Linked DNA regions of Danio rerio. The protein of the gene in region 1 interacts with the protein of each later gene in a pairwise test. Links are inferred from orthologs where the notes say so. Each region holds a gene or a part of one and is shown on either strand. Other genes may lie near its edges.

The links. The genes of interacting proteins can lie anywhere in the genome.
Region 2: the proteins of git1 (region 1) and ppfia4 interact in a two-hybrid assay, tested with the Homo sapiens proteins (2 studies listed by BioGRID). The link is inferred for Danio rerio from reciprocal best matches to the Homo sapiens genes GIT1 and PPFIA4.

The regions. Positions count from the first base shown.
Region 1 is NC_133190.1:30,984,691-30,989,006, forward strand, and holds the start of git1 (ARF GTPase-activating protein GIT1), read right to left. Parts: upstream 2,813-4,316; 5' UTR 2,361-2,812; coding exon 2,309-2,360; intron 1-2,308. UniProt on the Homo sapiens protein: GTPase-activating protein for ADP ribosylation factor family members, including ARF1.
Region 2 is NC_133186.1:24,673,890-24,677,546, reverse strand, and holds part of ppfia4 (liprin-alpha-4), read right to left. Parts: intron 3,260-3,657; coding exon 3,197-3,259; exon of another isoform or gene 3,069-3,196; intron 2,096-3,068; coding exon 2,069-2,095; intron 1,142-2,068; coding exon 966-1,141; intron 1-965. UniProt on the Homo sapiens protein: May regulate the disassembly of focal adhesions. May localize receptor-like tyrosine phosphatases type 2A at specific sites on the plasma membrane, possibly regulating their interaction with the extracellular environment and their association with substrates.

The sequences.
Region 1 (4,316 bases):
GATAAATTATTAATTAAACGATAAACCTTCAAATTAATACTGAATAACAAACTATAAATCAACAGAACACCATGTAAAATAGTATTGAACTTAATTACACACACACTAACAGATAAATTCAGATGAAGACATGCATTGAGATGACATACTTCAAAACGTAAAAATCGATTGTGCTTTAATTATTGTTATTATCAATGACATTTGTAAACATTAACAGCTTAAACTAATCTCAAATCAATTTGCTGCTAGGTTTAACATAGTGTAATAAAAAAAAAACATGCATGCACATGTTGTCAGTGATTTTTGTTTCTAGAAACCGCTCTTGCCATAAATATGTTGGCTCTTGCACTGTATGACTACTATCGGTGGGGATTTTTGTTGATAACTGAACCCACAGGCATCGGTGACAGCTTTTGGTCGAGCTCACAGCAAGACTGCAGGTAGCCAAAGAGGTGAAACAGAACTAAACTGTCAAAAACAAGACACACTTGTACATTTGTGGAGAGCAGAGAGCAGCTGTGGATGAGAGAGCAGCTGTCATGCCCCCCGTACCACCCCTCGGTCCCCCCATGGGGACGGTGAGACTAAATGAGCAAGGCCAAGGGTGGGCTTGAAGTGACGGCACAGCTGAGCAGCATTTAAAACATGTTTTGTAAACAACTGAAGGCGGTCTTGTGTCTTTATTTGGTTGGTTTAAGCTTGTTGGTAATTTATTGAGCAATGCATTTGAGGACAAATGGCTGAGAACGACATAGTTCCTATTTATTTAAAATAAAAATGCTATAGGGAAAAAGAGGGAAGTTGACCCTGGTTTCAGGAAATTGTGTCTTAAGGCATGCATGATGGAACTAGAAATGGCTATAAATAATTTAAACCTATGCTCTATTTAGGACAAACCCATTTAGTAACTTTGAAAAGAAAAAAATCTAAAAACATCTTAAATTTGTATATTACCGCTGATAGATTTCACCCACTGCTCATAATTATTACAGAAATATGGAAATATGTAGCGATACGTTTTAAATGGCAGTTGTGCTAAAAACAGTTTAAGCTGGTTTAAAGCTTTTAGGTGGTGTCCAAGTGGTCAAACTGGTCTGTTGGCTAGTTTTAGGTGGGTTTTTAGGGACTTTTTAAGCTGGTCATGCTGAGAGACCAGCTTGGAGACCAGCTACACAACAGCTTGGCCATACTGGGAGACCAACTAAGACCAGTAAAATAAAGACCAGATTTAAGCATTTTTTCCAGCATTTAAATGCAATACTATCAGTTAACTCAACATACTATCAAATTATTCATAGTTTTTCTATAATAAAAGTCTATTACACATGTTTTAGTGCATTGACTACAATTTGTCAAACCAAAGTTAAACTACGGTTAATGTAGCATATCGTTAATTTAAGGTTAACGTTACCATGCGGTAACTACAAAAACAGTTTGTCTAATAATATTTTAAACCACTATTAATTTTATTATAAAGAATAACAAACACAACCGTTATCTAGAAGCAATTCAGTGGACAAGAGCAAACAGAAGCGAACACTGACCCACGTCAGAGTTAACGTTAGATGTGTCCTGTCAACCTGCTAGCGCTAGTTAGCTATCTATCTATTCTCAACCCATGTTCATACTAACTAAATTCGCAAAAAATGTACCGAATATGTTTAAGTAGGACCTCTTGCAGTCATAAAAACTGATTCTAAATACACAAACGTGTTTTACTTAAAACTGGGAAGAGACTCAAATGAGAGTCCGCAGGCTACTTAGCAACCAAGCCTAGCCTACTGACAGTTAGCATTGTTCGATATATAGAGCTTTCAGTGCGGAGTATTTACTAAAACACAATTTAAATATATAGTAAGCTGTCGCTACAATATCTGCATATAAACAAATCTAAGTGTGGAGTAAATATGGTCATTTTAATTGACAGCACCTCGCAGGCTTGTCAACTTAACTTGGGATGGGTGCTAACAACGAGAAGGGGTAAAACTTTAGCCACGGCAGCAAAGCAGGAATAAGCAGTCCAAATTTAAAGTCATGCAAGTTTTGTGAATACACTAAAAGATTGTACTTCTTGAACAACCACTGTTCAACCGCATTACAAAGATACATATAAGTTAAGAGTGCGTTTAAAATCTGATTTGTTGGGCCGCAGAATCGGCCTTAATTTTAGGCATTTTTCCTGGCGCGCTTAACCCAGTATCCCTTCGCATACGCGGGCTTGGTACTCCTCCGCAATCCGCCGCGGTCAGGCGAGTCCCGGACAGCCATGGCTCACAACAACGCATTGATCCATAAATCTCAGCCTTACCTGGTGCACTGCAGTCGGCGCACACCTCGCTTCTCTGGACTTTCCTGGACATCGCTGAATCAAAAGCTGCTGCTTCCAGAAATTTTAGTCCAGTGCTGAAGATATCTGGTTTTCCTTCCCTCCAGGAGCGACGTCTGCGATTTTAATGCCGCCCCGAAATGTCCGGAAGCCGGCGACGAGCTCTCCAGTGCTCCCGGTCCTCACCCTTCTCTCTCTCTTTCTCTCCTTCCTTTTTCCTGCGGTGTCTTCTGTCGTGCCGCTACGAGGACTTTGCGATTCCCAAAGATGAATGAGATTTTCAGAAGGCCCCTTACGTTATCAGATTTCGGACGTAATCAGTTTAATTTTGAGTGGCCCCCATAATCTTTTTACCCCGATCATTATCCAAGCCCGTCTCTTAGGCAAAAGGGGGTGGGAATAAGTAAAGTATGGATACTGTACACGGTTTATTTACATCCACTGCCCCATACACTTCTGTATGGCGGGCTGCATATCCCTCTCTCTGACGTCTGCCTCTCGCTTTCTCTCTTTTGCCCCACTGTCGTCAGTGCACAGGCGGGGGCCGACCCAGCAGAGGGACCCTGCAGTCGTGCCCACCAGTATGGAGATGAATTTTACATAACTTTAATTACATGCCTACTATCTCCTAATAGGCTTTAAAAAAATTTAACTCAGTAAAAAGAAAAAAAGTTTGTTTCTTCTGAATTTTTACTTTAAAATAACGTGTTTCTAGAAGGAATATCATCTCATTAATATATTTTATTTATACTAGTCCTCCACATTCGATTCTATTTATTCCTTCATTCATTTTATTTTCAGATCCCTTTATTAATCTGGGGTCGCCACATTGGAATGAACCACCAACTTATCCAGCATATGTTTTACGCAGTGGATGCCCTTCCAGCTGCAACCCATCACTGGGAATCACCCATACACTCTCACATTCACTCACTGACAATTTTGCTTACCCAATTCACCTATAGCGCATGTCTTGACTGTGGGGGAAACCAGAGCACCCAGAAGAAACCCACGTAAACACGGGGAATGCCAAATGACCCATGCAGCCGAGGCTCGAACCAGCGACCTTTTTGCTGCAAGGCAACAGCGCTACCCACTGCAGCACAATGTGTTGTTTTCTTGGCCCAATTTACATTAGCTCATTCCAATACAAATCTTCAAACTATAAGATAGAAAAAGAAAAGTGCATATACTTTTGGGGTTTGGTTATTATATTATATGTATAGAAGTCCAAAGACACGTATAGATAAATTGAATAAACTAAATTGTCTGTAGTGTATGTGTGTGAATAAGAGTGTATGGGTGTTACTGGGAAACTCACACTCATTCACACACAAACACTACGGCCAATTTAGTTTATTGAATTCACCTATAGCGCATGCCTTTGGTCCAAGGAGGAAACCAGAGCACCCGGAGGAAACCTATGCGAACATGGGGAGAACATGCAATCTCCACACAGAAACACCAACTTACCCAGCCAGCTGGGGCTCAAACCTTGCTTCTTGCTGTGTTGTGACAGTGTTTAACACCAAGCCACTGTGCCACCATGTTTGAGGTTATTGGCATACATTATTTTAAACCCCTCTAATGAAGAAAGGAACAGTATAGTAGCACAAAAGACTAACAGGTTTTAATACTAAGAATTTAATAAAACTCCTCCAGACAAATGCACATAAGTTAAATTATTCATAAACTTCATTCATTCATGCATTTTCTTTTCGGCTTAGTCCCTTTATTAATCATGGGTTACCATAGCAGAATGAACTGTCAAGTTATCCAAAATATTTTTTTACGCAGCGAATGCCCTTCAAGCTGCAACCCAACACTGGGAAACACCCATACACACTCATTCACGCACATACACACATTTTTAACTTACCCAATTCACTTATTGCGCATGTCTTTGGACTTGTGGGTGGAACAGGAGCACCCGGAGGAAACCCATGCTAACACGGGGAGAAAATGCAAACTCCACACAGAAATGGCAACT
Region 2 (3,657 bases), on another chromosome or scaffold:
AAGAACATACAGTATTGACACTTTTAATAAGATGTAAATAAATCTCTGCTGCACCCCAGAATGTATTTGTGAATTTCAGCTTAAGATCATTTATTATTGCAGGTCAAGTTTGACCCTACTTGTGTGAGCGCAAATTAGCATTGTTGTTGTATGTGTGCCTTTAAATGCAAATGAGCTGCTGCTTTTAAGAAGAGAACAGAGCCTTTACACTCCAATCTGGCACTCTGGTAACAATAAAACAATTGAATTCCACATAACAAAAATGCCAGTAATAACTAATAAACATTATATTAATAACTTTTTAGCACAATTCTCTAGTTTTTAGAGAAAAGATAAGTTTCAGGATAAAACTGTCATCAGTGAATACAGTCAATGGTAATTTTAGCCACAAAAGCCATACAGAATGCTAACGAGCACATTCAGAGAAGGCATTTGGAAAAGTTCTCAAATTATTAAGTGACATACTGTGCTTGTTTCGAATATGAAGTTAGAACACAGTGCTAATTTTGACTGGGGATGAATACCGAAAAATATTTTAAAATTAGTTCCATATTCAATTCTGTGGATATGTGCTCATACACAGTTCATAACACATGCTAACTGGAAAAGCAGAAATGTCCTGTCATAGGAACGCTGGTAAAAAGATGCTTCTCCAGAATGAGTCCCTAGTATTGGTGCCTCCTTCGGTGCCTCCTTCGGAAAGTTAAACTGACCTTCATTAGTGAAGCAGTTCAGAGTAAATCATATTTTGCCATATATATAACATTTTACAGACAAATTTGGCACATTTCCTTCTAAAATTAAACTTCTCAGTAGTCCTGAGTAGTTCATATATCTGGAGTCTATGGAAACTCTTCTGTTCGGTACAATAACAGAACATTTGTAATTTTTTTTCTGGTCACACATTAGAAATCTCCAGCTGCTACAGTGAGTAAACAAACATGTCCCCTGTAAAATGAGTTTACCGATGGAAGCTGTCCACCATCTTTAGGTGTGTGCGCAGGTCTTTCTTGGTGAGGTGGTCCAGCATTCGAGCATCCACTAAACACTCCATGAAGTAGCTGCGATACTGAGGAAGACCGAGACTCGGCAGCCACTCATTCCCAATCCACTCATGGTTCATGTCTCCATACGCCAGTGTCTGAGATACAAGAGAGACAACAGTTCACTGTGCATCTGACATCTGCATCATACACAGCTTTAAAATATTAAATAGTCAATAAATAAGTTTTATAATAGATAATATAAAATGTGTATAAAATATACCTTTACAGAAAAAGTTTATGTACTACATAGAAATTATATAAATATAAATATATAAATTATAAAGAGTTATAATAATATAAAAATTTATATTTTTAAATAATACTTGTAAATAATTACAAAAATATATACAATGTTTGAATTGTTTTGTATTTATGTATTTATTTAAATTGACAAAAAGTTTATATAAATATTATATATTTTTAATTTTTATACTATTTATTTAATATATATTATATAGATTATTTATGCACATATTTAAACCATTTATTATTAGTCAATTTTATTTAAAATTTCTATAAAATATGAATTAAGTAAACTTGTAGTAAATATATAGCAATATTTTAATCATACAATATTTAAAAATAGTTTGATTATAAAGATGCTAAAACTATTTATTAAAATTTTAGTAATATAATACTATTATTATTAATTAGTAATACATATTATTCATAAAAAAACAAAAATGTAGATAAAATTGTGACAGAAATTTACTAAATAAAATGTATATATGTTTGTACGTATTTATGTATGCATGTATTTTTGACACGTGAAATAGCATATTAATAATAATATAAAATTTCATGTCATCATAATTACAAATTTCAACAAAGTCTTTGTGTCACTTACACATATAATACAAATAGTATAGAACTTCTTACAATACATTTCAGTATGACAAAAAGGAATTTTAAATTCATATGGAAGTTAATGGACAACTCTCAATATGAACATTTAGGCTGAACTAAAGTTAAACCAGGTGTAAGAGGTCAGTGGCAGGCTCTGAGTTGGTCATTCCTCTCACCTGAGCCCAGCTTCCCTCCTCATTGTCCTTTGAGTCAGCATGTTTGGGCAATGAGACAGAGAGTGTTAGCAATGCTCTTCTACAGTTAAAGAACTCAATGAGTGCAGCAAAAGCAGAGGAGATCAATTGAACACCAGACAACAACATCTGAGCTCATCGTTAATAGGTAACACGTACTGCAAATCTAGTTAAAGTTCCCCTGAAATGCTTGTTCAATGTGTGAAATAATTTAAAATTGAAACATTAGGTATAGTATAGCCCCTTCTCTTTTTTTAATAGCTAATATAATTTTGTTTATATCACACCTCTGTCAGCAAGAGTCAGTGAGCTAAAAACATCAAACTCATTACAGCAAACTTTGCAATAGCAGTGTCTATAAAAATAGCAAGTTTTCCAGCTTTAAATGGAAGCATTTATGATATAATTGAAACATTTTGCTGTCTAAGGTGACTCGCATATATTATTCAACCCACTTTATTAAGATCTCAAAACTCAAGGCTTTTTGTAGTGCACAGAACAGCAAAGTCCACTAAAAAAGATTAAGCATTCTCATATACGACTCCTAAACTCCTGGAATAGCCTTCCTGATAATGACCGAGGCTCAGACACACTTTCTCAATTCAAAACAAGATTAAATGACCAATCTTTTTACTAAAGCATACACACTAAATGCATTACTTAACTACCATCTTGGATGTACTAAACCTGAACCCACTGAGCATCCCATAGGCTGCTATAATATGCTTATGTCTTCCAAATGGGAATCTTGTCACTATTTTGGAGCATGCTAGCTTACAGATAACCTGAAGACTTTTTGTTTATTTATTTATTTATTTATTTATTTATTTATTCATTTATTTATTTATTTATTTATTTATGTCAACAACGTTAGAAATGTAAACTATGATTTCAGGGAGACTTTAAAAACAGTACTTAATGGTTATGCAAAGCGACAGGACAGCAGTGACACAGAAGCATGCAGAGGCTTTACGAAGCGCACTCGTTGGTGGTTTGCAGGGCAGAGGGGTTGGGGTGGATCGGGGCAGCAGGCTGGGGGTTGTGAGGGCTGCGGAAGCGTGGCATATGCATGGCACCGCAGGCACGAGGGAGTCACCCAGATGGACTAACCATTTTGGTAGAGGTTGCCATGTTTTCCATCTCCTCGTGAGTCACCCACACATTTCCGGAAGACTGCACGGAGAAAAAGATACACACACATACATAAATGATCACAAACGGCAAGGTCCTCATAAACATACACTGTATGACTGTTGGCAGCTTGGTTACTAAAAGCATCAGGAACTGTGTTACTGTTTTCTATTTATGTAACAGGTGTATTTTAATCACTTTTAAAGAAAGAGCAGTGTTTGAATGAAAAATAAAAGACTATAAGTAAAATTATATAGTCTTTAAAAATTCAATGATGATTAAAATAAATATTAAACAAACAAAAAAATCTAAAGCAAATATTAAGTATATAAAATTATATTAAATAAATACATCAAAAGAAATAATACATAGAATATATACAAATAAGGGGCAGCACGGTGGCGCAGTGGGTTGCACAATTGCCTCACAGCAGGAAGGAC